2 linked regions of the Elephas maximus indicus genome follow. The protein of the gene in region 1 interacts with the protein of each later gene in a biochemical or structural test. Links are inferred from orthologs where the notes say so. Each region holds a gene or a part of one and is shown on either strand. Other genes may lie near its edges. The genes, in order: DCN and TGFB1.

The links.
Region 2: the proteins of DCN (region 1) and TGFB1 form a complex in vitro, tested with the Homo sapiens proteins (3 studies listed by BioGRID). The link is inferred for Elephas maximus indicus from reciprocal best matches to the Homo sapiens genes DCN and TGFB1.

The regions. Positions count from the first base shown.
Region 1 is NC_064822.1:155,621,126-155,636,904, reverse strand, and holds the start of DCN (decorin), read left to right. Parts: upstream 1-10,181; 5' UTR 10,182-10,546; intron 10,547-13,633; exon of another isoform or gene 13,634-13,799; intron 13,800-14,962; 5' UTR 14,963-14,995; coding exon 14,996-15,209; intron 15,210-15,779. UniProt on the Homo sapiens protein: May affect the rate of fibrils formation.
Region 2 is NC_064829.1:109,833,733-109,849,172, forward strand, and holds the start of TGFB1 (transforming growth factor beta-1 proprotein), read left to right. Parts: upstream 1-7,589; 5' UTR 7,590-7,595; coding exon 7,596-7,950; intron 7,951-10,983; coding exon 10,984-11,144; intron 11,145-12,404; coding exon 12,405-12,522; intron 12,523-14,165; coding exon 14,166-14,243; intron 14,244-14,920; coding exon 14,921-15,071; intron 15,072-15,440. Other genes in the region: B9D2 (B9 domain-containing protein 2), read left to right, coding at 2,422-2,547, 5,383-5,696. UniProt on the Homo sapiens protein: Transforming growth factor beta-1 proprotein: Precursor of the Latency-associated peptide (LAP) and Transforming growth factor beta-1 (TGF-beta-1) chains, which constitute the regulatory and active subunit of TGF-beta-1, respectively.

The sequences.
Region 1 (15,779 bases):
CTCAGCTGCTTATTGAAAGCCTGGAGGTTTCAGTCCGCCTAGAGATACCTCAGAAGAAAGGCCTGATAACCTACTTTCGGAAAATCAGCCATGGAAACACTGTGAAGCACAGTTCTACTCCGACACACGTGGGGTCACCATGAGTCAGGGTCTACTGCACGGCAGCTGGTTTGATTTGAAAGTATGAATTAGGTTCAGAGTGAACTGAATTGGGATTTTTAAATTACAGATAAAAGTCACTTCTTCCAAGGCAGCTTTTGTTCTGGTATTGATTTAAATAAAGAATGTTAAGCAGTTCCAACTTACGCTTTTGACATAATCACAGCAACCTCCCAGGCCCAGTGGTTTTAGTACTAGATGAAAGGAGCCCTGGTGGTCCAGTGGTTAAGCACTCAGCTGCTAACTGAAAGGTCGATGGTTCAAACCCATCAGCTGCTCTGTGGGAGAAAAGATCTGGTGATCTCCTGTAAAGATTTCAGTCTAAGAAACCATGTGGAGCAGTTCTACTCTGTCTCCTATAGGGTCTCTACGAGTTAGAATCTACTCAATGTCACACAGCAGTCCTAGAAGAAGCTCTTCCCTTGCAACACAGAGCTGGCCTATTCATTGACTCTGAGAGTTTCTTCTCACTCCATTACCCTCCCATTTAAAGTCTGAAAGAAACTAGCTCACCAAAAGCTCCCAAAACTGTAGGATATGTAACAGCATCATTAAATACTTGCTAAAGTAATGTTGGTGCCTCCATGTTTTAGTTGCCAGCTGGCAACCATAAATGTTTGCAACTACATGGAATTAAAAACAAAAAATATTTGCAGTATTTCCTGTAATCTCTCAGCAGCTTTTACCACATGGGATCACTCTCCACAGACAGGCGCATAATGTTTTTATCATTCAGAAAGTTAACAAATCACCTATTTAGAGGGCTGTTTTAAAGCACAAATTTCCATGGTTGTTGGCCCCTGGGAAGAATTACATACTCTGTTTCTAGTTGGATTTTGTATTGTCTCAGTCCATGAGTAATGCTAGGGAAGTTATTGAAACTTTAGTTTTCAAAACGCCTGCAGGAATGAAGATGGTTCAGGAGAAGCCAACCTTTTGATGAAGAAAGTTCCAGAAATTTAAACCTGAAACCTCAAATGTGATCATGCCTCAATTTTCATTTGTTATCCTCATAAGCTCGTAATTATAAAGCAAGCCACATATTGATGATTTAATACTTTTATAAATGATATCCTTAGACAGCATTCTAGAAAGAATGGACACGTTGATTATTCCTAAACAGTAATGTTTCATCAGGTATTAGAAGTGGATTTATTCAAGATACAGATTTGCTTCCAAAAATAAAAAAAAGCTCATATGCTTCAAACATTAATACACGTTGCCATAAAAAAATCATCTCATGAATTATTAGAGAAATGACTCTTGTTAAAGATTAACAAGGCAAATTACAGGGGATGAATTATTGTCATTAAAGGGATAACTTGAATCAAATAATTCCCAAGGGGCTGTAACTATCTCAGAAAAAGTTCTGAAACTAACTCGTTATTTTACTGTGCAGTTTTGAAGACATTAGAATAAAATTTTTCATTCACTTGCCTAATTAAATTCTGGAGGGCTGTACTCTGCAATGGAACATTTATTTTTCCTAGGATACAGGGTATATTGAAAGGAGAGTATTTACAGACCAAATAGGTGTCATGCAGTAAATACACACTACACAGACATGATCAGCATTTAGAACTCCAAAATAAACAGGACATAACTTTCAGGCTAGAATATGAATAAAATGCAGGAAGAGAAAACAAATGCCTCAAAATCCTCAGCCCATTTGAAATTTTCTTTACCTGACATAAACTTATGTGGCATGTCCTAAGTTCTAAACCCGTTACAAAAATCAACTCATGTTATCCTCATATGAAGTAGGTACTATCATTAATGGGGAAACTGCCCAAGGCCACACAGACAGTCAGTGAAAGAGTCAAAAATCAGACTTGGGCAATCAGGCTCCAGGGTCTGTGTGCTCAACCAAAAAGCTATTGAAGAAAAATTATCTCTGTTGAAGGAAATTACAAACTCAAGGTCTTCTTTGCTTCCAACAATTCGGGCATTGTACATTATCCTATTCAATCGCATCTTATAGTTGGCCTGAACTTTCACCTTCACATGGATGTTTTTCTTTGTTTGAAGAGAAAGTATAGCATTGCCGAAGAAGTCTGCTTTGCAGGCTTATAGTACCAGGTCCTACTTCGTGCAGGACTAGTTAACTAACAGGCAAATCACCAGAAGCACTGGCCAAGAAGGTTGTCTTCCAGGTGGTGCCTGGCTTTTGTCTTTCTCTTTTGTAGTTTTCATTCACTTCCAATACGTACAGCTTCCAAGCTGGTCTTATCTGTAAACTGTCAACATTTCTGCAGTCAATCACTGTGGGAAGCCTTCATTCAACACATGTGAGAATTCAGCCAATCCGGGAAAGAGTCCATATTAAACCTTCTTTCTTTCATTCCTTAATTCAGATGGCGTGATTTCTCCATTATTCCTCACTCTAGGTTCACTATCAAGACTAAACGTTTTTTAATACCCTAGAACTTGAACTCACATAAAATGATAAGTTCTTACGATTTTTGCATGTATGAAAAGCTTCAGTTAATGTAATCATTTCTATAGGTTGCTCGTTCCCACGTAAAGAAGGTTCTCCTTGGAGATGAAGATGGAAACAAAACAGGAGCTCCAACAGTCAGGTCTTTCCCTGTCACTGCTCATGTGACAGAAGCAGCTGGTGGGAGTGGGGAAGAAAAGTGTCTGGAGACCATGGCTGCCTTGCTCATTAGCTCTGATTTTAAAGCAGTTTTTTCAATGTCCTTTCTGCTCAGTTTCTGCCTCAAAGAAGCGATTATGATAGTGTCCAACTGATAGAGTTATTATGAGCCTTAGCTGAGATAATGAATGCAAAGTACATACCACAATACCTAGCACGGAATAAGCGCTCCAAACATTTCCTACTGACATATCACAGCAGCTTCCCAAGTAGTAGCTCTATTTTTGCCTTGTTTACCTTCTTGTTGCTAAAATATTAGCACGCCAAGACTAGCAGTAACCTACTACTTGGTTTCCTTGACTCTAGTTTCACTGCCTTGCACATACTTGCCGGATTTGACTTACCAAAACAGAGTTTTAACCGTGTTATTCTCTCATCAAAGAGCTTCAATAACATCCAGCTTCTAGCACAGTGATTGGCACATTTTAAGTACTAAATACGCATTTGCTGAGAAAATGAAAGAATAAGAGCTTTTTGGAAGACTTTCACCCTTTTTCAGTCAGACTCTATCTCATTTCTCTCATCTCTCTTTAGTTATTTTCACAAACATTGAGTATTTATTGAATGACTTCAGTAGGTCACACGCCATTGCAGTCATTAGATACACAAGGATGATGAAGATACAGACTCACTTGAAGGATTTGGCAGCTTCTTTGAAACAAAGCCCTCCAGTGAAGCACATTAATTTAATTATTGTCTCCTGATATCCCACAGCTGAGTTTTTACTAGTGCCATTCTACCCGCCTAGATAGCCTCCTCTCTTCACACCATGCACGTTCCTTTTATCCCTTAGGATTCAGCTCAAATTCTACCTGTTCTCCATAAATGCTTACGTAATCACCCATGTGTAAAGTGATCTCTTCCCCATTGCTCCTCTAAATTGCTAAAACAATTATATTCTCTAGATCATACTTCCCTTTTTGGCCAGGGATTACATAATGCATTGTGTATTATAAGCTTTCTGGTATTTATTAAAACATATATACATAAATATTATAACATGTAATATAGTATTTTATATATATAATATTATATATGTGTATATGTGTGTACATTCTTAATTTGCTTATGCTTTATCTCCTTACTCTAGCGTAAGTACTTTGAGTTTATGTGCTTTGTACTTTGTGCTTTTTTGTATCTTCCACAAAACCTGACATTATGCTTTTCCCATAATAATTTCTCAGTCAATATTTACTAATTCATTTATTGATTACTGGCAATTTGCTTGTATTTAATAGAGAGGTTTGTGCCTTGCATACCCTAATAGATATTCAACAAAAGTTAGCTTATTGTCTAAGTATAAACTGACTGATCAATAGAATAGAAAGAATAATAAATCCTCTGACTGCCAATGACAAAGGAGATGCTGCTGAGGATGCTTGAGTCAGGGAATTAAGGCATTAAAAATCTTGCAGTGAAAGAGAGCTACAGCTCCCCGCACCTGTTCTCTCTCATTTCATTACTCATCCTGTCCCTGTCGTTATCTCACCTCTGCTTTCATCTTCAGAGCGGAGATTTTTATTTTGGGGTCACTGGATCCTTAAAAAGTCCATGAATAGATTTCAGGGTGACTTGGAATCCAGTTAAATTTTATGCATAAAAAAGAACAGACATTGTTTAATGAGTGCAATGTGAGATCTAAAACTCAAGCTTATCTCCCTGCAACATCTTGCTCTTCCACCTACACCGTGGTTTAGGTGATTTCCTGGACTGCTAGAAAACACCTTCGGCTAGAAAAAGAATGTAGTCTGGTTATTGAACTGCAGTATCCAAGGGGAGGTTTGGTAGCAACCACCACCACAGCAGCAGCAGAAGGCACAACGAGCACTTATCTACTGTTGGCGATGTGTCAGGCATGCTTCTACATATTAACGTTTGTTAAACCTCACACCTTAATACTATGGAGCAGGTAGTGCTGCTGTTGTGCTCATTCTATAAATTAAAAACAAACAAACAAACAAACAAACAAAACTGAGGGGAGGAGAGTTTAAATCACTTGTGCCAGGTCATGAAGCTCCCGAGTAGTAAGTCAGGTTTTGAAACCAGGCAGCCAGTCTCCAGAATCTGTATAAATTTGTGCTAATGGCATTTTCCTACTTGTTTATAGTAGATTCCAAGACAGATCCCCATTACAGTCAGATAGCTCTTTTTTTTTTTTTTTTTTTAAACTCTAAGGCCAATACTGAGCTTCCGTACTGTGCTGCTATTCCACAGATATTAGAAAGAAGGTGAAAGAAAATGTTACAGTCTTGAGGCTTGAGATGCCAAGGGAGAACTCTAATAATTTCTGTATCAAATGGTTGCAATGGAATAACAGAGACTCATTGACCCTGCCATTTTACCATACCTCCACCTTGCCCAACATATTTCGATGACATCTATATTTCCATTTAAAATCTTATTTAAAATTAAAAAAAAAAAAATTCTGAGTTCGGAAAAACTTGCGAGAGCACTGGTAGTTCCGTTTTTACATGGCCCTGCTTCTACCCTCTGTAAATATCCCTAGGAAGAGATTTCATTAGGTGACTGATGACTTTGGATGCTTTTAACTGCCATTGACAGCAAGCTCTTCCACAAACTGACTTAAACCAGAAGTTGGCAAACTACCATCCATTGGCTAAATAATTAAGCCTAACACAACTTTTCATAAATAAAATGTTATAGGAATACCACCATGCCCATTTATGTATGTTTTGTCTATGACTCTTTCCATGAGACAATGGCAGAGTTGAGTAATTGCTAAGAGACCTTATGACTTTCAGAGCCTAAAATATTTACTATTCAACTCTTTACAGGAAAAAAAAGAAAATTGTTGAACTCTAAACTTTTGAAAAATATCTCATCTCATGTAATGTGAAGCCCAGTAGGGGCTCTTTGTTGTCGTTGTTAGGTGCCGTTGAGTCAGTTCAAACTCATAGCAGCCTATGTACAACATAATAAAATACTGCCTGATCCTGCACCAACCTTACAATCATTGCTATGTTTGAGCCCATTGTTGCAGCCACTGTATCAATCCATGTTGTACTTTACCAAGCAGGATGTCCTTCTCCAAGGAATGGTCCTTCCTGATAACATGTCCAAAGTACATAAGTTGAAGTCTCCCCATCCTCACTCTAAGGAGCTTTCAGGTTGTACTTCAGCCTGACACTTTTTTTTTTTTTTTTGAGTTGCTAAATTGGCTCTGGAGTTCCAGGGCCAATTTAGCAACTAAAAAAATACCATCTCATTTTTCCTCTATTCTCAGTGGGTGAACCTTTCTCTCAGGTCTGTGACTCCTCATTATTACTCATTAGTTGCAGAAGTTCCAGACATCACATCGAGTTATAAAAATATCTAGAGGGAAAAAAAGGAGCCATCTCTTCTTTATATCACACCTTAATGAAGCATCATCAGCTGACTCCCTCTCATGACACCAGTGATCAGAATTGAGTGACATGCCCTTCCTAAAGTAATTCTTGAAAGGAAACAGGGTAAAGATAATTGGCTAGGCCAATTGTTCAAAGTGGAATGTATGTTGGGTGGTCAATCATCTTGACCAGTACTGTCTTCTATATTCTTCTCTCAGTCGACATATTCAGTCTCTTAAAGTATGATATTTCATCATATTTATTAAGACCTGAGTGATTAAAATTCAAAATAGTGCATTTTTACATTAAATTTGGAAGAGATTTTCAGTTGGACTGTACCCATCAGAGTGGTTGGGTAACAACAACAAAAACAACCACACTGTGTCAGGCGTGGTTTTGAGGTAGATGTGCAGAGCAGAGGGCCAATACAAGAACGCTGAACACAGTGGTGATGGCCTGGGGTAGGCAGAGGCATGTGGGAAGAAAGAATATTATTGCCAAGATAGAAAAAATTTTACTACCAAATTGTATTTCAGGCCATCCTGCAATCAAAGTTGCCCTGAATTCCACACTACTCTTCTTTTGTGGCTATGGAAGAAATCTGTTTATGGCAGCGAAATACAGAGCCAGACAATCCATTCCAGCCTCTGACCTGAATATGAAGAGTCAATCTAAGAATAAACCAGTCACATCAGGTTTGTAAAGATAACCAATGCATCCAGACCTCTTAGAAAATAAAAGGGTGTCAGAAGGAGACCTTTCTAAGCTCTGGCATTCTTCGTATCTTTAATATGCAGGTACAATTTAAATCACTTGTCTTTGATGATGATGAGAAAGAGTGAATACCCCTGAAATAAATTTTGACAAGATGTAGAATAGAGTTACCCCGTTAGCTAGTGGGTTGTCAGTAGAAATCACAGTTTAAGTGGTTTTAACAGCAGATGTGGTATGTGCTTTGAATCTGAATATTTCAAATATCTATATGGCTGCCAAGGTTTCAGTGAACCCTAACCAAACATTCCAGACCAGGATGAGCTTAGGCAATCTCTGCATAAGCACTGATTCTACCCTCAAAATTGCCCCATTTCATGTTAGATTGCAAGAGACCTAGAGTCTGTGATAGTGCCATGACCTCTTTGTGACTTATCTGAATATGACTTTGTTATGACTTAGTTTCTTCCATCTAAAAATAGGTGTGCCAATATATGTAACTTAACATCTGATTAAAGGTAAAAATTTTAAGATCATGTTTGTGAAGATGCTTGGAATTTTAGAAATGAGGTGAAACAAAAAGGAATCTCTAGAAATAAAAAGGAATATTTATTTTTGTTCCTGCACAAATGTAAAAATTCTAAAAAGGATTGTCACTTGGTCACAGTTTTTTAAAAAAGAAGGGTCTGTTGATCTATTATGAAAATCAGCCATCGAAAACCCTTTGGAATACAATTCTACTCTGATACACTTGGGGTCACCATGAGCCGAAGCGGATGAGACAGCAACAGGTTGGTTGGTTAAAAAGGATTGTCGCTTGGTCACAATTTTTAAAATAGTCTGCAAAGACATGTTACCCTAAATTTTTATGATTAATTCTCTTTATACTAAGACTTTGATCTTCCTTAAAACACAGTATAGTAATGGAAGGATCACTGAATTCGTTGTGAGACAACCTGAGTATTAGTTGCTGCTTTGCTTTTTACCAGCTCTGTGAACTTGGGCAGGTCATTGGGGTTAATTTTTCTCACCTGTGAAATGGAAAGAGTAAATAGTATTTCCCTTGCCCAACCTCAATTCCCTTGTCCAAATTTTAATTGCTACAAAATATGTCAGGGAAAAAATAAAAGCGTATAAAAAGCTTAATTTCGAAGGGCGGTGCTAGGAGTTAAGTGCTTCATATACTGTCTCTCTACCCCAGCACTAGAAAACCAAAAACTAAACCCATTGCCATCAAGCAGATTCCGAATCACACAACCATATAGGACAGAGTAGAACTGCCCCGTAGTGTTTCCCAGGAGTGACTGAGTGGATTTGAACTGTCAACCTTTCGGTTAGCAGCCATAGCTCTTAACCACTATGCCACCAGGGCTCAACAATATAAAGTAGGTACTAATTTTTACCCATTTTACAGATAAGAAAACTGAAACTCAGAGAGGTTAAGTAAGTTGCCTGAGTTATTGCATGTACTATGGGGGAGGAGGGAAATCAGGATGTAAACCTTAATCAAAATGATTCTTTTTTTTAAAAGTAAAATGATATCCGTATCAAAACTAACATGTCTTTTCTCCCCTTCTACGCCTTCTTTAATTCCCCTCTGCCTCCTGTCTTTTTTTCAGATAATAATCATTGCCTTAATTTATCATATATACTTTTAGAGCTGGATTTTAATAAGAAACAATTCAGGGGCTGAGCAAAACAATAATCATGATATGGTCCACAGCCAATGCTTTGACTACTTTTGTCTACTCATTCATTAGACGTTTATTGAGAATGGGCTATACACCATGCACTACGCTGAGTGAGGAGCTCTGGTGGCGCTGTGGGTAAGAGCTCAGCTGCCAACCCAAAGGTGGGCAGTTTGAATCCATCAGCCACTCCTTAGAAATCCTATGGAGCAGTTCTTCTCTGTTCTATAGGGTCACTGGTACGAGTCTGAACGGACTCGAGGGCAATGGGATGCGAGTGAAGGGATTCTACCAATATGAATACAATGTACTTCCTGCCTTGGCGTGAGGCATGTACATAAATAATTATAATATGAAGTAGGATTGCACGTCATAAAAGAAGAGATAAATGCTATGCAATGGGAGTTCAGAGGAGAACATTAATGAATTTCAGGTGAGAGGATCATGGACTTGCACCAATACCCAGGGAAAACAGTGTTTTCATTTTTGGAAACCACCGGAATAACTGGGTATCTGGTCATTAAATGTCAAGGAGAAGGGAAAAAAGGTGAGGTGTTAAAATTGGGAAGGATGGGCTTGGGAAATCAAGGGGACTAATTTGTTCAGCTCCTGAGTGCTGGGAAGTATGAGTTTACTCAGGAATAGAGAAAGAAGGCAAAATATAATTTGGTAACACCTCCCGCCCTCCTTTAAATACCCACTCAAGGATTTAATTCCTTCGAGTTTCATCAAGGCAGAAGATTTTTTACTGTAAAAGTGTAGACTTAGGTGGTGACAGGAGAGGAAGGAGAGAGGGTGAAGGATCAGAGAGAAGGTAACCTCTCATGTTTCACACATGTTGATTTCAAGTTTCCACCTGGTAACAGCCTAGGGGCCAGAGCATAAAAGATACAAGTCAAAACACAGAGACTTACACAGAGAGAACTAACAGCATCCAGCAAGGGAATTACAAAAACACAAAAAAGCTTTCCAGTGGCTAAATAAATATCTTTCCTTTTATTTGTACTGTTTTTTTTTTTTTTTTCTTTCCCCTTTACTGAAATTTGGAAACGGCCATAGAATCTACTGCTTTTTCAAAGTTCTAGATTACATAAAAGAATAGTCTATTAAAATCAAATGTTTCAAATACGGGCTAAATTTAATTGTGACCAATTTCTAGTTATCTGTGTGTTTTCTTAAAAAAAACAAAAACGAAAACAAACAAAAACTGGTGGCAACAAAAGAGATTTTAAACTATGAGTAATGAAAATAATATGTGAGGTGTGTTTTATATAAAACCATGGCTTTGTTCCAGAACTCTTTAGAAATATGTTAAAAATATATGGAAAAACTCGAATTTGCGCAAAAATGCCAAAGCAAGTGAGAATCCGAAAGAGTATTTTCACATAAGGCTACTCATTTATTTTTGCAGACCACATTTAAAATAACTACAAGATCAATTTCATTCCATTTGCTGGACGTCTACATGCTGGAAGAAAGATTATTTGTTATTTGGAAAGTATGATAAATGTGACTTAGGAACAAGGCTAGAAAGAGTGGAGAGTGGAGTGAATTGGGGGTGGGGAAACAAACCCTTTCCTGACAATATTTTTAGGGAAATGAATCAACAAAATAGGACAAATTTCAAGGCAAGTTGCTCTGCAGCACTACATAAGCTTTTTAGAATCTTAAACAGATGCAAAAGGAATAAAGCAAAAGGGAGAGGGAAAAAAGGCCGATAAAGTTTCTGGCTTCAATACAGGAGACATATCATTACCATATGATCTAATGTGGGTGTCAGCCGGATTGTGTTCATTGAGGGAAACCTTATTTTTTAACTGTGCTATGGAGTAGAAGCAGGAGGTTTTCAACCTAGTGACAGTCACAGAGCAGCACCTAACCCCCTCCTCCTTACCACACCTGCAAACTCTTTTCCTTGGGCTGAATATTTAGTGTAATTACATCTCAGCTTTGAGGGCTCCTGTGGCAAATCCCCGGATTAAAAGGTATGGTTTTCAATAATTGTCCTGAACTCTGCTACAGACTAATAAAACTGCGGTCAAGTTGAGAGCAAAAAGAATTATTTGGTGAGAAAAAAGAAAAAAAAATGTACTAAACTTTTGATAATCTTTAGGCAGCATTTCAAGAAAAAGTATTGCTTGAAAACTAGTTAATTACTTGGTAAAATGATTGAATGCGTTGTTTTAATTTTTTTTTCTTTTCTCTTCTTGCAAGGGTGTTTATTAAAAAACCTAACACCATAACTCTCTACATTGATATATTCTGTATTTGTACTAATGAAATGTTTAGCTATTGAGAAGGTGTTAACAGAATAGCCTTCTAGGCTAGCATGCTATTTGTAGTAAAATTATTTATCTACTGATATCTTTCCTTCCTGAGTTCTTGTATGCTTTGAGATCGTTTAAAACAGCCGAGAAGTGAATTCTGGTGATTAGCTATATAGGTCCAATGTGTATTTCTGCATCCCAAGAAAACAATAGAAATTATCATCAGGGAAGTAAAAATAAATACTGAAAATATGTATGCTGGATATTAAAGATCTACCTAAACTCTTCTCATGGTTAGCAGCATAATTCCTTAACCGTAAGGAAAAGCAACCATGTTGATATTTTCAATTCAAATGAAATTTTATTATAAGATACATTCACGATGAAATGAGGAAGTGGGTTATTTTTCTTTCTAATTTCAAGGCAGGGTTACAGGGTGACCAGTCAGTAAGTGGGCTCCCAGTGATGTAAATACCTGTGGCTTTTTCTTCCTCTTGCTGTTTTGATCAGAAAAAAGAGCCAAATGCCCCTATAGCAGTCCCTATGTATGGGTAAATGCTGCTTTTATTCCTAATATTTTCATTTTTTCTGTTATTTTTTAGATTTCTAATACATCCTGTGAAGGGGGATTGTAACTTTTCTTTGCAATTATAGCTTTATTTTGTCTCCTGAGGGTTAAATTTTGACTTTGAAATTCACACCAAAAGCATATGACATCGTATAAATAGTGAGCTCAATGATACAGTTAATTTAAAGGGCCGAAGTACTTTAAAAAAAAAAATTTTTTTTTGAAAGTACTTTAGGAGCTAGAAATTAATCTATTTGATAAAAATTATTAAACTGTGGCAACTAATTTTAGAAGTGTAGCAACATTATACTAGCAATTAGCATTTGGAAAGAGTCATACATTTTGAGAACGTTTAAAGCCATTTCAGTAAAACTTGGAAAAAGTATATATTTCAAAATTAGCTGCCTTGCTTTTTACATGAACAGCTGCTGTGGGCTGGTAATTTTTCTGACATATTAAGGAAAGAAAGAAAGGATTCAAGAAATTATTATTATGCGAAGCACACATTAATTGCTTTAAGATTCTGAGATTTCACGACACTAATTGCAAAGAAGTTATTTCATGAAGGAATTTATATAAAGTTTCTAGACAAGCTACTTTTCTTTTTCTTCCCCAGGGCATTAGAGTTAAAATGCACACACGCACACACACACACACACACAGAGTAAATGAAGGTGGTATATAATAAGTTAATTGAAGCTACTAACTCTTTGCATTCAGCGTCAATCAAAAAGCATATTGTGCAGAGAATCTGCAATATTTTAATAAGAGTAAACAAATATAAATGATAATATTCCTCTGAGCTAATACTTAAAGTTTCTTTTTTGAGGGGGGAGGGAGGTGGTGGGGGAGTTGTTACAGAGACAACCAGGCATTTCCTGCTCTGGAGAAAAGATCAAAAAGCGACATCTGTATTAATTCTTGTTGCTATTTATTAAATCTGCAACTGCTTGCTATTTATTAAATCTGCAATTGCTTTGCTTCATTTTTCTTCTAAAATTGTTTAGGACATTAAACATGCAAGGCCCGAAAACTTGTGGTAAACCATAAACATTGCATTTTAATATGAAACAGACAGAAAATCACTCCCTTAGATCCAACCTAAGTAAACCCTGCCAGGCCAAAACAATAGGCTCGCCTCTTAAAGGGCAATGTAATCACTGGGTGGGGGAAGGGGCTCCTACAGCAAACTTGATGCTGAATTTAAAATGCTAGTGTGAACCATGATCTGTATGGCGCTTTATAAATGAAAAGCCATCAATGCATATTACGTATGCGCTGCCTTAGACAGAGTTTGGTAATAAATATAAACTAAGAACAAAAATGTAAGAAAATTGAAAAATATTTATTCCATCTGTAGTGGATCTAGGCAAAACTTTCCAGAAGACACATTAAGGTTAGGGCATACAAGTTTGTTTGTTTGTTTGTTTTGGCATATATTTTGATTGGATGATGACCTGAAACAACGTATTTAATTATAGTTACAAATGTGCAGTTTTAGTGTAGATCATGCAAGTATACAGTCCAAAATAGAGAGAATCAGGCTAAAGGCAAGTCTTGTCTACAATATGCTTTGGGAACACTTGGAACAGTTTGAATAGAATTTAAAAATATATCGTCTTAAAAATAAGCCACCTCTTCTTTACATGACCAACTCAGTTTTGTTATTCAGATTTATTAAGAAAATAAAACGTTCGCTTCAGCTAATGAAATCAACTCAACAACAAAGAATTATAGATCATAAGTGCTTGTTGAATGAAGTAATACATATTATGTGGATCCATGGAAACTTAACTTTTAGTGATTTTGTTTTGTTTTTGTTTTCTTTATACAAAATAGCCCAGTTGGTAAAGCCTGATAAGTCATATAAAAGTCAATTAGGATTTCCCCATGTATGTTTATCTCTTTATTTCAAAAGATCAGTTTGGGAAACCAACCAATAGATTCACTTTAAAAAGTGACTTTTGCTTTATATCAGGTTGAGGTTTCCAATTCAATAACTTTCCTGTACCAGGAATTAGATTTTGAAAAAAGGACAATTTTATTTTGTTTTGGGGGGGAAAAAAAAAAAAGGAATTGGTTGGTTGCTTGGAACAAATTGAATAAATTGTATTGTTAATAATTTGATAGTCAATTGAGTTATGTGCAAAATATTATGTAAGGTCCGGATACAGAACAAAAAAATAATAAGACACGCCCTGGATGAGTACATTGCCTAGTGGGGGAATAGACCAAGCACGCAAAACAAATTACAATATAATGTGATAAGTTCTTTAAAAGAGGTAAGAGCAACGTGCTTTGGGAGCTCAGAAGAAGGAGAAAGCAACCTCTTCCCCTGGATATACGGGGAAATACAGAAGGGAAGCCCATTATCTTACTTGCTTTTTACAACACTGTTACAAGGTAGGTAATTTGATGGCTATTAGTTTTGAATGTCAGGATACAGGTGGAGACTGGGAGTGGTAAGAAAATGGAGGGAAACGTGGCTAGAAATATACATTGGCAACGAACTGTGAATGATCTTATAAGTAACACTATGGACTTACTAGCAAGCCATGGGAAGTCAACCAATGGTTTTCAGTAGAAGATTAAACAAAAAACCAAACCAAATCAAGTCGATTCCGACTGATAGTGGCCCTATAGGACAGAACAGGACTGCCCCATAGAATTTCCAAGGAGTGCCTGGTGGATTCGAACTGCCAACCTTTTGGTTAGCAGCCATAGCACTTAACCACTACACCACCAGAGTTTCCGGTAGAAGATCGGTAAGATGAAATTTATTTTTTGAAAGGCCATTCCTGCAACAGAGTGGAAGGTGGCATGGAAAAGAGGGAATGTTCAAGACAGAGATTAGTTGGAAGCTTTTGCAATAGCTCAGGGAGTGATGAGAAGGGCCTGCATCAAGATAATTATAGTGGGTTGGAGAGATGAGATAGGAGCCCTGGTGGTACAGTGGTTAGCACTTGGCTGCTAACCAAAAGGTCAGCCACTGGAACCCACCAGCCTCTCCTGGGAGAAAGATGTGGCAGTCTGCTTCTGTGAAGATTTATAGCCTTGGAAACCCTATGGGGCAGCTCTACTTCGTCCTATAGGGTCACTTGGAGTTACAATCAGCAGTGGGCTTGGTTTTTCATTTTTGGAGAGTTGAGATTGGCTTCCAGAGATATTTCTTGAAGCAGAAATTTGAGATCTCTCATGTGTATGAACAAAACATTATTTCACTGTGGCATGGCTCATGTTGAATGAGCATTGGAAAGTCCACCATGATATACTATCATGACAATTTTGCAAATGATGTAAAAATATAGTGTATCATTTTAATTCAGACCCACGATGAAAGCAAGTAGATCTGAATAACATATTTAAATAAATGTTGCTTCTTAAGTAAATAGCTGCCAATTAAGTCTATAATGTACCTTATCACCTTTCAAATATATTTTAAATGCTCTGTTTCCTAATAACAAATGAAAATGTGATTTTTGTTTTTTTTAAATATTTTTCTCTATGCTCACTCTACCATGGGGCAGGTAACACTACTCTTCCTAAACCTTTCATTTCTTTTCTAGGTTCCCTAGTTGTGAAAATAGATGAGATAAATCATGAAGGCAACTATCGTCTTTCTCCTGCTTGCACAAGTTTCCTGGGCAGGACCCTTTCAACAGAGAGGCTTATTTGACTTTATGCTAGAAGATGAAGCTTCTGGGATAGGCCCAGACGAGAGCTTTCCTGAGCTTCCTGAACTGGAGCCCCTGGGGCCAGTGTGCCCCTTCCGCTGCCAATGCCATCTTCGAGTTGTCCAGTGTTCTGATTTGGGTGAGTGGGCCAGAGGCTGTTTACCGACCTTGTTTGTTTCATTCTTGCAAAAGGGTACTCTTAAGAGTTTAGCCTTTTCAGTTTGAATCTCTGCAATTCAAATGCAAAAGACAGTGCCACCTAATGAGAAGTAATGGAAACAGAGAGGGTAGAAACTCAAGTAGCTTTGAAGTTAGGAGACTTTTTTTCTTTTTTGAGTCAGGGCTCCAACACTTCGCAATCTTGGACAAATCACTTTTTATTTTTCTGGGCTTCATAGCTCCCCGTCTATAAAATAAAATGTTGAATGACACAATGTATTATGTTCTATGATTCCAGGATGATAGCTTATTTTATTTCTATGATTTCCGTTCACGAAACAGTAGGTATTAACAAAACCTGAACAGTCTCTCTACTCTTGACTTAGCCTAGATAACAGAGCTTAGTCTGACCATGACTAAATTGTAAAGTATGCAGTTATCAGAAGCAAATGAGTAAAATTTTACAACAGAAACTTATCTCTGGAGTACCAAAATACGCCCTTAATCTCTGGGTCTTAGTTTCGCCTTTTACCATTGGCATTTTGTAATC
Region 2 (15,440 bases), on another chromosome or scaffold:
CCGATTTACAAAGGCAGCCCATTCTCTGGTATTCACAGTCCTCTTTGAGAAGGTAGGAACTGGCAGCCATCCATATCCTTTCATGCAGGTTTAGAGGGGTACCCCCAAAGCCCCCAGTTTTCATGCCTCCCCATCTGAGGCAGTATGCATAGTGGTTAGGACCACAGGCCACCAAATCTGGGTTCGAAGACTAACTCCACCTATTAATTGGAGGCCTTTGGGCCTGAACTCTCTGAGTATCTGTTTCCTTGTCTGAAAATGTGACTAAATAGCAGCTGAGAGGCAGCACAGTGTCAAGATTAAGAGCACAACCGCCTGGGCACAAAACCAGCTGTTGCACTTCTCTTTGCTTTGATTTCTGTACCTGAACAATGGGAATAATTTTACCTCATGGGATTGTTGGGAGGACTAACTTTATATCAGCAGCACTTAGAGCAGGGTCCAGTGGGTAGTAAGTGTTCAGTAAGTGTTTGTCTGGCTCTTGTAAGACTTCGATGGGGTCTCGTTTGTAAAGCCTGGTGTGTGTTGCCTGGCCCATGAAATAGGTATGGCTTTTGCTGTCAGCATCCCTTCAGGCTCTGGGTCATTTGTGATTTCACTGGTAGGCGGGGTGGTGATTCAGATTCCCTGGGGAATTGATATCCTCCAGCTGAGTGGTTAAGGGGCAGGTTCTAGAGTCAGACTGGGTTTCCAGTCTGGGCCCTACCACTCAACTGCCCTGGGACCCTGGGCAGGTGCTGTCACCTCAGTTTCCTCATCTATGTGTTGTTAGGTTCTGTCGAGTCAGTTCCAACTCATAGCGACCCTTTGTATAACAGAATGAAACACTGCCCACCTCTGCACCATCGTCACAATCATTGCCATGCTCGAGCCCATTGTTGCAGCCACTGTGTGAAACCATCTATATCCCTGCTGCCATCATGTCGATTCCGACTCATAGCAACCCTATAGGGCAGAGTAGAACTGCCCCAGAGAGTTTCCAAGGAGCGCCTGGCAGATTCGAACTGCTGACCTTTTTGGTTAGCAGCCGTAGCACTTAACCACTATGCCACCAGGGTTTCCACCATCCATCCTTCATAGGGTTTTTTGGAAATCTTGTATGTGAAGAGCCTGGCTCAGGGCCTGATGCTTCATTCTCTCAGTCTTGTGGGAAAGTGGCTAACATGGTTTTTATTAGTTCAGGGAGGGAGTTGTAGGGGCACGGGGATTGGTCCAGCAGAGAGCTCAGAGGTAGTCTGATTGGGCTCCGCAGTCAAACAGTCAGTGCTGAGCTTGAATCCAGCTCTGCTGTGGGGTCTCGGTCTGACCCAAGTGCCTGGCACACAGTAGGCACTCAGTGAATCTTGGTGGAATGAATGACCAAGTGATTTTCTTTGGCAGAGCTTATTCTTTTACTTCTTAGATCACTCATTTGTCTGACAAGTATTTACTGAGTGCCTTCTGTATACCAAGCATTGGGTTTGAGGTTCTGGAGATACAGCAGTGCACAAGTGCCCTGCTTTCCTGAGGCTCCCAGTAGGGGACACAGAAAATAAATAAGCAGACAGGTGAGCACAGTGATTTTAGTTAGTGGTTGGTGCCAGGAAGAAAAGAGACAGGAGGAGGTGATGGGGACTAATTTTTGGATCGGAGTGTCAGGGCAAGCCCCTCTGTGGATGGATGAAAAAGAGCCACCCACAGGGAGCTCCAGGAGCAGAGCTTTCTAGGCAGAGGGAATGGCAAGTGCAAAGGCCCTGAGTTGGGAATGAGCTCGGCCAACACTGGGGAACAGAAATGGGACCAGTGAGGCTGTGGGGGTGAGGAAGGGGGAGAGTGATGGAGATGAGGGCAGGAAGGTGGGCACGCAGGCCATGCAGAGCCTTAGGCACCGGGTGAGTGTCTGAGCTGGGGGGGTTGGGCTGGGCAGGGTGGGATTAAGAGTGCTAGAGTCAGATTACATTCATTACCTAAAGGGATCAGCACAGCATCTGGCATGTAGTAAGCACTCAGAGCATTTTGCTGTTACTATGCACCCTTCACGGCACACCCAGCTGTGGAGAATACTCTTGGCCTCATCTTAGTCCTTGATCTAGGCTTCTAAATATGGAGTGGGAGTAGTAATAAAATGATATTTTATCCAGCACTCACTATGCCCTAGGCACTGTTTTAAGTGCTTTGTATGTATTAGCTTAATCTCAAAAACTATGAGGAACACATTATTTTTACACTCATTTTACAGATGGGAAGACAGAGGCATAGAAATGTAACTTACCAAAGGTCACAAAGGCAGGAAGAGGTAGTGCCAGGATTTGAACCCAGGCATTTGACTCCAGAGTCTGTGTTTTATAACCCCTGCCCCCAAATGTTAGGGAGAAACGGGGTCCTACAGCCACAGTGGCATCACCCCACTGCCGCATCTCAGTGTCCTGGCTCTCCCCACAGGGGCTGCATGGAAGCTACTGTCAGGCGTGCGGGAGGGCCAAACGCAGGTGGACACCCCCCAAGTGGGGGACATGGCCTACTGGTCCCACCCCATCGACTTGCACTTTGCCACTAAAGGCCTTCAAGGTAGGTTCCAGGCATGGGCCCTGGGCCAGGCTGAGGGGAGGGGGGCTGATAGCACCCTAGCTGCTGGGATGAGAATATCAAGTCTCTGCCCTCTGCCCTTATACCTTTTTCGGTCCCTTTCCCAGCCCAGCCTGGCCCCGGAGAGGCTGAGCTGAAGCATCCCAGGTGGGCTGTAAGGGAATCCCAAGTATGAGGGGCTGGGGCGGAGGCCCGGGGTGGAAGGGGAGGTGGGAAGGTAGGGACCAGGGTGGGAAGGGAGATGGCCTCTAAGTAAAGACAGAGGGAGACAGTCTGCAATAGGGAGCAATCTGGGATGGGGTTTATGAGGGAGAGAGAGACACAGAGGTGAGGGCTTGCTGCTGCTTTTCAGGGAGGGCCCCTTAGCTTGAGAGCAGAGGCTCAGGGGGAGATGAGTGCAGGGGAGGAGGGGTATCAGAAAGCACTTTCTGGGAGAGAGTTTGGGGTATTGCAGAGGAGCAGATTCCAGGCTTGGGAAATAACCAAAAACCAAACCCACTGCCATCCAGGTGATTCCGACTCATGGCGACCCTATAGGACACAGTAGAACTGCCCCATAGGGTTTCCAAGGCTGTAAATCTTTATGGTAGCAGACTGCCACATCTTTCTCCTGCGGAGCAGCTAGTGAGTTTGAACCACTGACCTGTTGGTAAGCAGCTGAGCGCTTTAACCACTGTGCCATCAGGGCTCCCTATATTAGATGATGCCAGGAAGATACCAGTGACTGAGATACCCACAGCCCTGTTCTCAGGGGCCCTACCATCCAGTGGAGGAGACAGACCTGTCCCCACACAGTGACAGCCCAAGTGGACAGGGCTGGGGTGGGGGGCCCCTGGGGCCTGGGAACCGAGAAGAGGTTCCTGACCCTGTCGGGGAGATCAGGGAGGACTTCCTGGAGGAGGGGACATTTGAGCTTTGATGTGAAGGGCTAGTAGGAGCTAGTGAGGCAAAGGACTGGAAGAGAGTTCCTAAGCAGAGGGGCATCTGAAGGACTGAGGGAGGGAGACTAGGAGGGCAGCAGGGAGTGAGGTGGTAGGGGACAGGCCATGCAGGGCCTTGAACACCAGGCTGAGGACCTGAGGCCATTTGAAGGCACTGGGGTGCCAGGGCAGGCGATGGACAAACTGTATTTTGCTTTTAAAAGATCTTCTGGCTGCCAAGTAAGCAATGAATTGGGAGGATGAGACAGGCAATTCTGTCCCCCAACGTTGGTCCCCTCCCTGGTTCACCCCCGGCTCCACCCCAGTCTGTTCCCCACAGGTAGCCAGCGGGACCCCGTGAACATCCAAATCAGATCACGTTCCTGCTCTGTCAGAGCCCTCCCTCCCCTGGTCCCCGTGCCACTCAGGGTAAAAGCCAAAGCCTTCCTATGTTGTCTTAGTTCTCTAGTGCTGCTAGAACAGAAATACCACAAGTGGGTGGCTTTAACACACAAATTTATTTTCTCACAGTTTAAGAAGCTAGAAGTCCAAATTCAAGGTGCCAACTCCAGGGGAAGGCTTTCTCTCTCTGTTGGCTCTGGGGGAATGTCCTTGTTTCTTCAGCTCATTTCCTGGTTCCAGAGAGATCTCCACATGGCTTCGCATCTCTCTTCCCCATCCCTGCTTGTTCTGCTTGCTCCTTTAATCTCTGTTATATTTCAGAAGAGATTGACTCAAGATACACCGTACACTAAACATGCCTCATTAACATAACAAAGACAAATGAGATTATAACCACAGGCATAGAGGCTAGGATTTACAACACATAGTTTTTGGGGGGACACACTTCATAAAACAGGGATTACAGGTCCCTGCACCATCTGGCTCTCACCCACTGCCCCTCTCTCCCCGGCACACTCCAGTCCAGCCCCACTGGCCCTACCAGGCACCCTCCAGCCTCAGGGCCTTTGCCTTAGCTATTCCTGCTGCTGGCCATGCTCTTCCACTAGATGTCCACATGGCCCCCTCGAAGCCTTTGCTAAAATGTCACCTCATTGAAGCCTTTCTGGACCACCCCTTTGTAAAACTGTATCCCCACCCCTACCCTACCCTGCTTAATTTTTCTCCAGAGCAGTTATCACCATCTGACATAGCCTGTAATTTACTTATTTACTATGTTTGCTGTCTAGGATGTCAGCTACTCAAGGGCAGGAATTTCTGTCTGCCTTACTCATGCTGGATCCCCAGCTCCTAGAACGGGGCCTGGCACAGAGGACGGGTTCTGAAGGGAGGGTGGGCCAGGGCCAGATCTCCAAGGGCCTCGGCCACCAGCCTGAGGAGCTGAGCAGTATTCTGAGGAAACCTATGGAAGGGGGAGAAAAGATGCTCGCGGTCACCAGGGGAAAGGGGGTTGGAGAAGACAAGACAGAAGGCCAGTCAGGGAGGAGTGCAGGGCGGGACCCCAGGGAGGGGAGGGGGAGGCATCCAGACAAGGCCCAAGGTGCTCATCTGAGGACTGGGGAAGCAGTGGGGCCACCCTGAGACGGGGACACGGAGGAGGAGGCCTCAGGGATGTCACAGAGGCCAGATCTGAAGGGTCTTGAGTGTCGAGGAAGTTAGACTTTATGCTGAGGATATTGGGGAGCCATGGAAGGGTTTTGAGCAGAGGAGGAACATGGATTTAGAGAGATCCCTCTGGCTGCTGTGTGGGGGTGGAGCAGGAGGTGGAAAACCAAGGAAGAGGCCTGGGAAGAACCAGGGGTGTGAAGGGAGGAGCAGGCTGGGGTCTCCATTGGGTATCAAGGGAAGGGGATTGAGGAGCAGGAGGCTGGACCATGAATATGCCAGGCGGGGCCTTGCCCATCCCCCCCTTTCCTTGCTCCCTCCGGTCCTACAGGCTGGCCCCGGCTCCATCTCCAGGTGTGGTCCCAGGACAGCTTTGGCCGCTGCCAGCTTGCTGGCTATGGCTTTTGCCACGTGCCCAGCAGCCCGGGCACCCACCAACTGGACTGCCCCACGTGGCGGCCCCTGGGCAGCTGGCGGGAGCAGCTGGCACGGGCCTTCGTGGGCGGTGGACCACAGCTGCTGCATGGGGACACCATCTACAGTGGAGCTGATCGCTACCGCCTGCACACGGCCGCCGGTGGCACCGTGCACCTCCAGCTCGGCGTGCTGCTGCGCCACTTCGACCGCTACGGCGTTGAATGCTGAGGGACTCTGCCTGCAACATCTGGCCCCCATCCACACTCTGGACACCTGATGAGGGGCAGGATGGTACAGTGGCCACGAGCATGGGATCTGGGGTCGGCAGGAACTGACTCCAGCCAAGGCATGGTGTGGCTGCTTCAAACCAGTGATTGTGCCTTTTGGCCCCAGTTTTCCCATCTGTAAAATGGGGACTGTGAGGGCGGGGTCATGGGAGCTTGGGAGAAAAGGCTGTGTAGCACATGGGAGGTGCACAATAAAGGAGAGCGATTCTTACAGGTGTATCTGCCTTCTTGACTTCATCTGACCTCTGCCCTGTGCTCCTTCCTTCCACTGACACCCTCCCTCCTCAGGGCCCACCTTTTGACAGGTCTGCTTCCCCCCTCCTCTGCCTCTCCACCTTCAATTCCTTCCTATTCTGGGTGCCTCTTCTTTGACCCCCCTTCCCACCCTGCTGTCTTTTGACCTCTTCTGCAGCCCTATCCTTTGACCCCTTTCCTGGGTACCTCTCCTCTGACCTCTCCTATGCCCCTATCCTCTGATCCCCTCTCCTAGACACCCCTGCTCTGACCTCCAATCCTGCACCCCTACGGTCTGACCCCTCTCGTCCTGGACATCCCTTCTCTGACTCACTCCCGTCCATCTTCTTTCTGACCCCCTCAGCCTCTGTCTCTTTCCCTGCTCTGGGTCACCTCTTTTCTGATCCCCTTTCCCCTGTGTCCCCATCTTTTGACTGAAGCTTCCCCGACAGGTCCTCGTTCTGTGACCCCGCACCCTAGTCGCTGCTTTTGTAGCGCTCGGCCGCCAGGAGGCAGCACCCTGTTCGTGGGGCGGAGCCGGGTGCTCGTCTCCTTCCCCCCAGGGCTGGAGGGACCCCCCTCGGAGCCCGCCCACGCGAGATGAGGATGGTGGCCCGGCCCCCCCATGCCTTCCCCCTGGGGGCCGCTCCCGCCCAGCGCGCTTCCTGGGTGGGGCCGGGGCGGCTTCAAAACTCCCCGCTGCCCCAGCCGGTCTCCGCCGCCGCAGCCTTTCGCTCCCAGGGCCGTACCCCTCCCTCCTCCCGCCGCGGATCCGCCAGACAGCGAGGCCCCCGGCCGGGGGGAGGGGGGACGCCCCCTCCCGGGCACACCCCCGGCTCTGAGCCGCCCGCGGGGCAGCCTCGGCCCGGAGCGGAGGAAGGAGCCGCCGAGGAGCAGCCCGAGGCCCCAGAGTCTGAGACGAGCCGCCGCCGCCCCCGCCGCCGCCGCCGCCACTGCGGGGAGGAGGAGCGGGAGGAGGGACGAGCTGGTTGGGAGAAGAGGAAAAAAAAGTTTTGAGACTTTTCCGCTGCCGCTGGGAGCCGGAGGCGAGGGGACCGCTTGGCGCGGCGCTGTCCCCCAGGAGTCAGGACTTGGGGACTCCGGACCCTCCCCCCGCCTCGGAAGCTCGCTCCCTCTCTGGCCCCCACTCGGCGTCCCCCAGGCGCCCCATTCCGGACCAGCCCTCAGGAGCCGCAAACCCGGACTCACACGAAGACTTTATCACCCCCAGACCTCGGGCGCACCCCCCTGCACGCCACCCTCTATTCCCAGCCTCTCTCCTAAACCCCGGAGCACCCGAGGACTCTTCTCCCCCAGGAGACGAGATCTCTCTCAGAACTGCCTCAGCTTCCCCATTCAAGGCCACCCACCCTCTGGTTTCAGATCTTGCCCATCTCGGTTTTTCACGTAGGATACCGAGGCACCCTCCCCCCGCCCCGTCAGAGCCTCCCTTCCACCCCTGCTCCCTTCTTCCTGAGGGCCTCAACTTTCCCCCCAGACCTTCCTACCTCCCCCTGGGAGACCCCAAGCCCCTGCAGGGGCGGGGCCTCCCCCAACCCCATCCCCGTTCGCGCGCTCGGCAGTGCCGGGGGGCGCCGCCTCCCCCATGCCGCCCTCCGGGCTGCGGCTGCTGCCGCTGCTGCTGCCGCTGCTACGGCTGCTAGTGCTGACGCCGGGCCGGCCGGCCGCGGGGCTGTCCACCTGCAAGACCATCGACATGGAGCTGGTGAAGCGGAAGCGCATCGAGGCCATCCGCGGCCAGATCCTATCCAAACTGCGCCTCGCCAGTCCCCCGAACCAGGGGGAGGTGCCGCCCGGCCCGCTGCCTGAGGCCGTGCTCGCCCTCTACAACAGTACCCGAGACCAAGTGGCCGGGGAGAGCGCCGAGCCGGAGCCCGAACCCGAGGCGGACTACTACGCCAAGGAGGTCACCCGCGTGCTAATGGTGGAAAGCAGTAACAGTGAGCTCCGAGGGGCAGGGGAGCCGGGAGGGGAGCCCCCAGGGGGCGCCGGAGTGCAGGGGTCAAGGGGAGGAAATGGGCCCCTGGGGGCACCGGGATCAAGGGAGGTTCCAAAGAAGGTGGGGCTGAGACCCTCGCAGGTACCAGGTCTTGAAGAGGAGGAGTTAGGGAGCCAAGTAGACTGCTTTCAGGGGGCATCAGGAACATGCGGGATTGTGAGGGGAGTCCCCTGGAGGGACAGAAGCAGTTGAGGTGGGGAAGACTAGACAAGAATGGCGGTTGTGGAGTGGGGGCTGCAGAAAGGAGAGTTCGGTTTGGGAGAAGCGAAGACCCCAGCTTTTGGGAAAGGAGAGGCACGAGGAAGTTGACCCAGAGCTCGGGGGTCGTTAGGTCGTTGGCCAGGAAGGTTAGGAAAGTGGGAGAATGGACCACTTCCAGAGGGCGCGAGGAACACATGGGATTGGGGAGGGGAGGTTCCCAGAGAGAAAAACAGGGAGAATGATAAATACCAGGAGAGAAGGACGCGGGGTCGTGGGGAGGAGGCTAGCCGGAGAGAAGCCGACGCCCCAGGGGGGTGCCGGAGATGTGCGGGAAGGTGTTGTGGGTGCTTCGCATTGGGAGGTGAGAAATAGAGGGTGGAGCCCAGCGGAGGAAGCGACCACCCAAGAAACCTAGCCTACAGGGCATGTGAAGAGGTTTACAGAGAAGGGAGACAGCGTGGGAAAGGTGGATGGAGGGGGGAGGGGAAGTAGTGCGAGCCCCTATATGCCGCGGGGTGGAAGGGAATGGGCTAAATGAGGAGTCTGGCCTTCTGAAAGAAAAAGGAGGGGTGGATGGGGACGACTCTGCAAGCGGGGAGTGAGAACACGGAGCTGGCGGGGTGAGAAAGCCCCACGTGGGCGCCACGCGCGGGGGGAGGAGCCCCGCTTCCGCAAGGGGGAAGGAGGACCCCGCGGAGTTAAAGGCTGGGAGTCAGGACCCCAAAGTCTCAGTTCCTCTCGTGGAGCCTGGGGAAACCCCAGCGTCCGGTCGCCTCACCCTCCCTTCCCGTGCCCCGAGGGCGAGGAGGGGGGGCCGGGGATCGCGCGCGGAGCCTGGGGCGAGACGAGACAGGTCTGGTCCCCGCCCTTGCCGCTGCGTCGTCGCCCGCCCTGCTCACCCCGTTGGGGGTGGAGCGACCGCTGGGCCCGCCCGTCCGCGCCCGCGCTGGGACCCTGGAGTCCCGGCGCCCCGCGTGGCCCAGAGGCTTGGGGGTGATCCCCCGGGGTTCACTTTTTCGCTAGAGCAGTAGACTTGCCGGTCCCCGGGCTGCTTGTGCGCCCAGTTTTCGGGTCCAGCCAAATAACACGCCCCTCATCTGGTTCTCTCTTCCTTTTCCGTCCTTCACCTTCGTTGTAGAGCTTTCACCGATACCCCCCTCCCGCCCCTGTTCTTTCTCTCTAGACTGTCTCTGTCTCTCCCCGAAGCCCGCGTGCCTCCCATCTGCCTGTACGCCTTTCCTATCCCCCCGTCCATCTCTTTTCCTGTCTGTGCCCTTCTTTCTGTCTCTTCAAATCTCCCTCATCCCATTACCATCCCACTCGTCTCTCTGTCCGGGTGTGGGTCTCTGGTTCCTGTCTCTCCTCTCTCTCTTCCTCTCCCCGTGTCTCCGCGGTTTCCCCATCTCTCCCTCCTCCTTGCAGCGCGCTGACCCTGCCTGTCCTTCCTTTCTTTCTCCCTATCTGTCTTGCCCAGCCCCGGCTTTCCCCTTCCCTTGGGGTGTGCTCAGTAACCGCTGGGCCAAGAGTAGGGTTTGTGTATGGGCGCAGGGCAGGGAGTGGTGAGGAATAGGGGGAGGGGGCTACAGGATGGGGTTTCCTCTGTCATTCCCCCTCAGAGCCTGTTTCCACCATCCCTCACCCCCACTATAGGAGACCCAAAGCAGTGGCTTCCAAGTTGATCCAGGAGTTTATGGTCTGCCTTCTCACCCCCACCCTTGAAATTTTCCTAGACTGGAAAATGGCCTTGTTAATTCTCTTCTTCCCCTGCAGCCATTCTTACCTAAGAATGTCATGAACTTCTCTAACCAGCTAAAGAGAGAGTTAAGGGAGGAAGCAATTAATAATAATAATAGTCATTGGCAGGGAGACAGCATAGCCTAGGGGATAAGAGCACCATTTGGGAACCGGAGGGCCTGAGTTTGAATCCCTCCCCTGCAGCTTCCTAGCTATGTGACCTTGGGGCAAATTGCTTCACTTTTGTGCCTCAGTTTCCCCATCTATAAAATGGCTATAATAGTATTTTCTTTGTAAGGTTTAACTATTTTAATGCTTGTAAAGTACTTTGAAAAGCGAGCGCTCTTTAACACACACATTATTGAGTGACTGCTGTATGTATGCAGGCTCTTGTGCTACATGTTTTCCCTGGATTGTCTCATTTATTTTGCACTGTGTTCTGCCATGGGTCCTCATTTTACAGACGAGGGTCTGCAGATCAGAGAGGGGAACTCTTTGGCCCAAGGTTACACAGCGCATCAGTAAGGAGAGTCTGGATTGGAAGGCAGGGAGATTGATGTTACGGTGATTTCCCAAAGAATAACAGGAAACCAAGGCCCAGAGAGGGGCTGTGACACAGTCTGGAGGCAGCAGAGGCATTGTCTGATCGGAATAGAACTGTGCTCCGTTGGGTTTTCAATGTTGATTTTGAGGAAGTAGATGGCCAGGCCTTTCTGCAGTGAACTTGCATTTAAGGCTCCGAGTGCTGGGGAGGCCTAAGCAAGCAGATCAACCCCCCTTGATGGCGGCCTTTGACTGGGTGGTCCATTACAGGTGATGCTTCATGAGAGAGGAGGGTGGTTAGGACCCATTTGACAGAGGGGGAAATTGAGACTCAGAGGGGAGAAACCACTCGCCCAAGGTCACACAGTTAAAAAGTGTTGACATTGAGCTCCAACCCAGGGCTGTCTGCCCTGGAGCCAGGGCAGACTTGGGGTCCACCAGCTCCCCCGCCCCTGCTGAACCGCTGCCATCCTGTCTCCCTGCTCTTCCCATCTAGAAATCTATGACAAACTCAGGCATGGCTCACACAGCATACATATGCTCTTCAACACATCGGAGCTTCGAGAAGCAGTGCCTGAACCCATGTTGCTTTCCCGGGCAGAGCTGCGCCTGCTGAGGCAAAGTTTAAAAGTGGAGCAGCACGTGGAGCTGTACCAGGTGGGAGCACGGGCCAGACAGGTGGGCTGAGCTGGGGTGTTGCTGGTGGCCATGTGGGGCCATAGGAAGGCTGGTGGCCACGAGGTCCATACCCATGAACTCTGAAGTATTCTAATTGTGGAGGATGGAATAGGTCAGACCAGAGCATCGTAGGGCTCTTTGAAACTTTCAGATGTAGATAGCGTCCTAGAATGTTAAACACTCAGACGGTTGGAATCTTAAAAGCTGGACTCTTTAAGAATGCAGGACTCTTGAAAGCTGCAGTCTCTTCAAAGGTTGACACCTCTAGAACTACTCTGTCCAATACGGTGCCCACTAGCCACATATGACTATTTAAGTTAATTAAAATGAAATCAAGTTAAAAACTCCATTTCTCAGTCTCAGTGGCCGTATTCCTAGTGCCTTGCAGTCAAACGCTAAAGCCCCGGTGGCACTGTGGTTATGAGCTACAGCTGCTAACCAAAAAGGTCAGCAGTTGGAATCCACCAGCCATTCTTTGGAAACCCTATAGGGGCAGTTCTGCTCTGCCCTATGGGGTCAGTATGAGTCGGAATCAACTTGACGGCATATTGAACATTAGACCTGCAGCATGAAAGGTGTTACACACTCTTACAGCAAGAGAACCTTGTCCGACCTTAGCTTGTTGGAGACTTGAGAACTCATCTGTATACGCTCAGCCCTAGAGGGTTATATCCCCAGCCCCGGGGACTATTCCATAGCCTTGGCATCCTTGTAGAACCTTAGTCTCCCGGAACTTCTTAGGCTTAGACACTGTGGAATTCCTGGAACAGTATTGAGCCGTGAGCGTTATAGAATGACATCTGACATAAGCCCTTAGAAAGTTATAGACGCAGAATTCGGGTGTCAGAGTTGCTGAACCATACACCTAAGCAGACTCCAGAAAGTTAGCAGCAGAATCTTAGCATCATGGGCTGCCCAAGTTTAAGGTACCAGCATTTACCAGTGAGGAAACTGAGGCCTCAAGAGGGAAAGAAAATGCCACAGCCCCCCAGCGAGGCAGAGGCTGAGCTGCTGGACGTGGTGCCCTGACCCCTGGCCTGGGGCTCTTTCTGCACCTCTCCTCTTAGGGGTGCTGTGGGGGCAAGCGGTTTCTGCAAGACCCCATGATGTGCATGTCTGGTAGGCTGGTGTCTGGGGGCCATTCGGGGGAGCAGATGGTATGGGGGGGCCCAGTCAGTGTATGTAAGGGGCATGGCAGCATCTACCTACTATCTCTCTTTCCCATTTATTATCTCCCAGAAATATAGCAATGATTCCTGGCGCTACCTCAGCAACCGGCTGCTGGCCCCCAGCGACTCATCGGAGTGGCTGTCCTTCGAAGTCACTGGAGTTGTGCGACAGTGGCTGAGCCGTGGAGGTGAGGTCTGCTCACCTGCACCTCCCCCCTTTCTCAATAGGTTGACTGCATTTTTTGTCCTGGGGCCAGCCTGCCTAGCATACCTCCCCATGAGCATGTGTTGGTGTCTAAGAGCTGAGACCTGGCCCTCCCCCTGGAGACTCAAACCTGAGTGACTAATTGATTAATCCGTGAATGGTTTATAGCCCATTTCCTGAGCACCTGTCCTGTACTCTGCCCTGTGCTGGTTGATGCTAGGGACACGGCAGTGACTGAAACAGTTCCTTGGGGAGGCCAGGAACACATCTTTGACTAGGCAGTGATGACCCGGACAGGGCTGCTATGGGGAGCCCAGAGGAGGCACCTGCCCCAGCCTGGGAGTCAGGGAGGACTTCTTGGAAGAGGGGGCATCTGAGCTAATCTCTGGATGAGTAGAATCAGTTGAGCAAAGAAGGGACAAGAGTGTTCTAGACAGAGGAAATAGCCTGTGCAAAGGCCACAAGTTCAGCATCCAGAAGAGACCTGTGTCTGTCCTGTTTGTGGCCCAGTCCACAGGGCCCATGTCTCCCTTCCATACCTCTCTCTCGTTCATGCATTCATTCAATAAAGCAAACAGTTGCCTGCCCTGTGCCCGGTGGTGTAGGGGACACAGTGATAAACAAGACAGCCCCAGGTCCTGCCCCCATGAGGCCAACAGGTACTACTAGACACTTAGGAAGCCTTGCCAGAGTTTCCCAGATGAGAAATGATCAAGGCCAGGACTGGGAAGGCTCAGGGGTCAGGGCCAGGAACAAGGAGGCACAGGCAGAGAGGGCAGGGCAGGGCAGGGGAAGCCCTAAGTGCCGTGGGAGCCCCGAGGAAGCCCCAGATCCCATGGCGGGGGTCCCAGAGGGCTCCCTGGAGGAGAGTGATTGTGTTGAGACTCACAGGATAGGTAGCAGTTTGGCCAGTTGCAAAGATGGGGCCTGGGAGCGGATGGGGGCTGCTGAGAGGAGTGTTCTGGGCAGCTGGACAAAGGCCTAGAAGGGCCTCATCTGTTGGTCAACGCTGAGCCCTGAGCACCTAGCACAGGGTCCAGCACATAGTGGGAGCTTAGGAAACATCATTCACTCATTCATTTGTCCCCCACTGGCCACTGGGAAAGAGCCCAGGCTTGGATTTGGATACCAGCCCTACCTTTTCGACCTGTGTGACCCTCGCTGGGTCACTTCCTGTCTGTGTGCGCCACTTCTTTGTGTTTTGGTGAAGATTAAAGGAGTGTCTAGAACAGAGCCTGGTATCCGGGACACGCTCAGTAAATGTCCACTTTAATGACTGTGGGCCAGACCGAGTGGGAAACAAGAAAGCCAAGTATCCATGCCCTGTGCAGCTTGTTTTCTGCTCTTAAAACTGCAGAAATAAACAGAGCCAAACGCAAATATCAGAGAGGGATAGAATGAAAATGCAGTAAGAGTGGGGAGGGTCTGTGGCCCTGAGGGCCTCCCCAAGGAGGTAACATTTGAGCTGAGGCCTGAAGAAAGGAAGAGAACTGGAGCAAAAGAGGTGCAGACACAGTGCACAACAAATGAAGAAGCAGGAGAGGGCTGTGGTTTGCCTCCTCCTTCCTCTTCCCCAGGGGCTGGGTGAGCCTCACTCTGACTGGTTCCCTGTCCCCACTCCCACAGGGGAAATAGAGGGCTTTCGCCTCAGCACCCACTGCTCCTGTGATGACAAAGACAACAAACTCCAAGTGGAAATCAAAGGTGAGGTCAGGTTCCCTGGGCCAGCCCCTGCCTGCTGGTTCCCCCTGGCCTTGATCCGTCCCGCTGAGAGAGAGAGAGAGTGTGTGTGTGTGTGTGTGTGTGTCACACCAATCCATCCCTCTGAGAGACTATGTGTGTGTGCTCCTCCCTGGCCTGACCCCTAATCATCCTTCTGAGTGTATGTCCGAGTCTCCTTCCCCCATCCCTCAAACTATCCCTCTAAGTGTGTGTCCTCCCCCATGGATCCACCCCTCTGAGTGTGTGTGTCTGCTCCCCTCCCCTCATGGATCCACCCCTCTGTGTGTCCCCTCTCCCCATGGATCGACTCCACTCCTCTGAGTGTGTGTCCCCTCCCCTCCCCCATGCATCCATTCCTCTGAGTGTGTGTTCCTTCCCCGCCTCCAGTGGATCCACCCCTTTGAGTGTGTGTGTCCCCTCCCTTCCTGCCATGGTTCTACCCCTCTGAGTGTGTGTGTCCCCTCTCCCCATGGATCCACTCCATCCCTCTGAGTGTGTGTCACCTCCCCTCCCCCCATGGATCCACCCCCTGAGTGTGTGTGTCCCCTTCCCTCCTCCCATGGGCCCACCCCTCTGAGTGCGTGTCCCCTCCCCAACCCCCCATGGATCCATCCCTCTGAGTGTGTGTCTCTCCCCTCTCCCCCTCCTCACCAAAGCAGGGCTGAATAACAACCACCGCAGAGGTGACCTGGCTGCCATTCATGGCATGAACCGGCCCTTCCTGCTCCTTATGGCCACCCCCTTGGAGAGGGCCCAGCACCTGCACAGCTCCCGGCACCGGCGGGCCCTGGACACCAACTACTGCTTCAGGTGAGCCTTGGAGCCTTTGGCTGAGCCCTTCCAGGCTGGACCTGACCAGTGTCTGCTAACCAGACTCTCTGGTTGGGCATCTGGCTGCTGCTGTGCCCTGGCTGAGTGTTTCCTTCAGCGTGGAGGGTGCAGGAGATGAGGTCTGAGTCCTAGAATGCGGGAGTGTTGGAACTGAAGTCTTAGAATGTTGGAATCAAGTTACTTTCTTGCTGGCGTGTTGGAATCAGAGACTGTTTGGATTTTGAACACCAAGAAAATTGGAATTCACTCTTGGGAGGTTGCTATGTTGGATTCCTATATTGTTGATAGGTTGGGGGTCTAGAATGATGGGATCCTAGATGGTTAGACTTTGGTGTTAATTACTGAAAT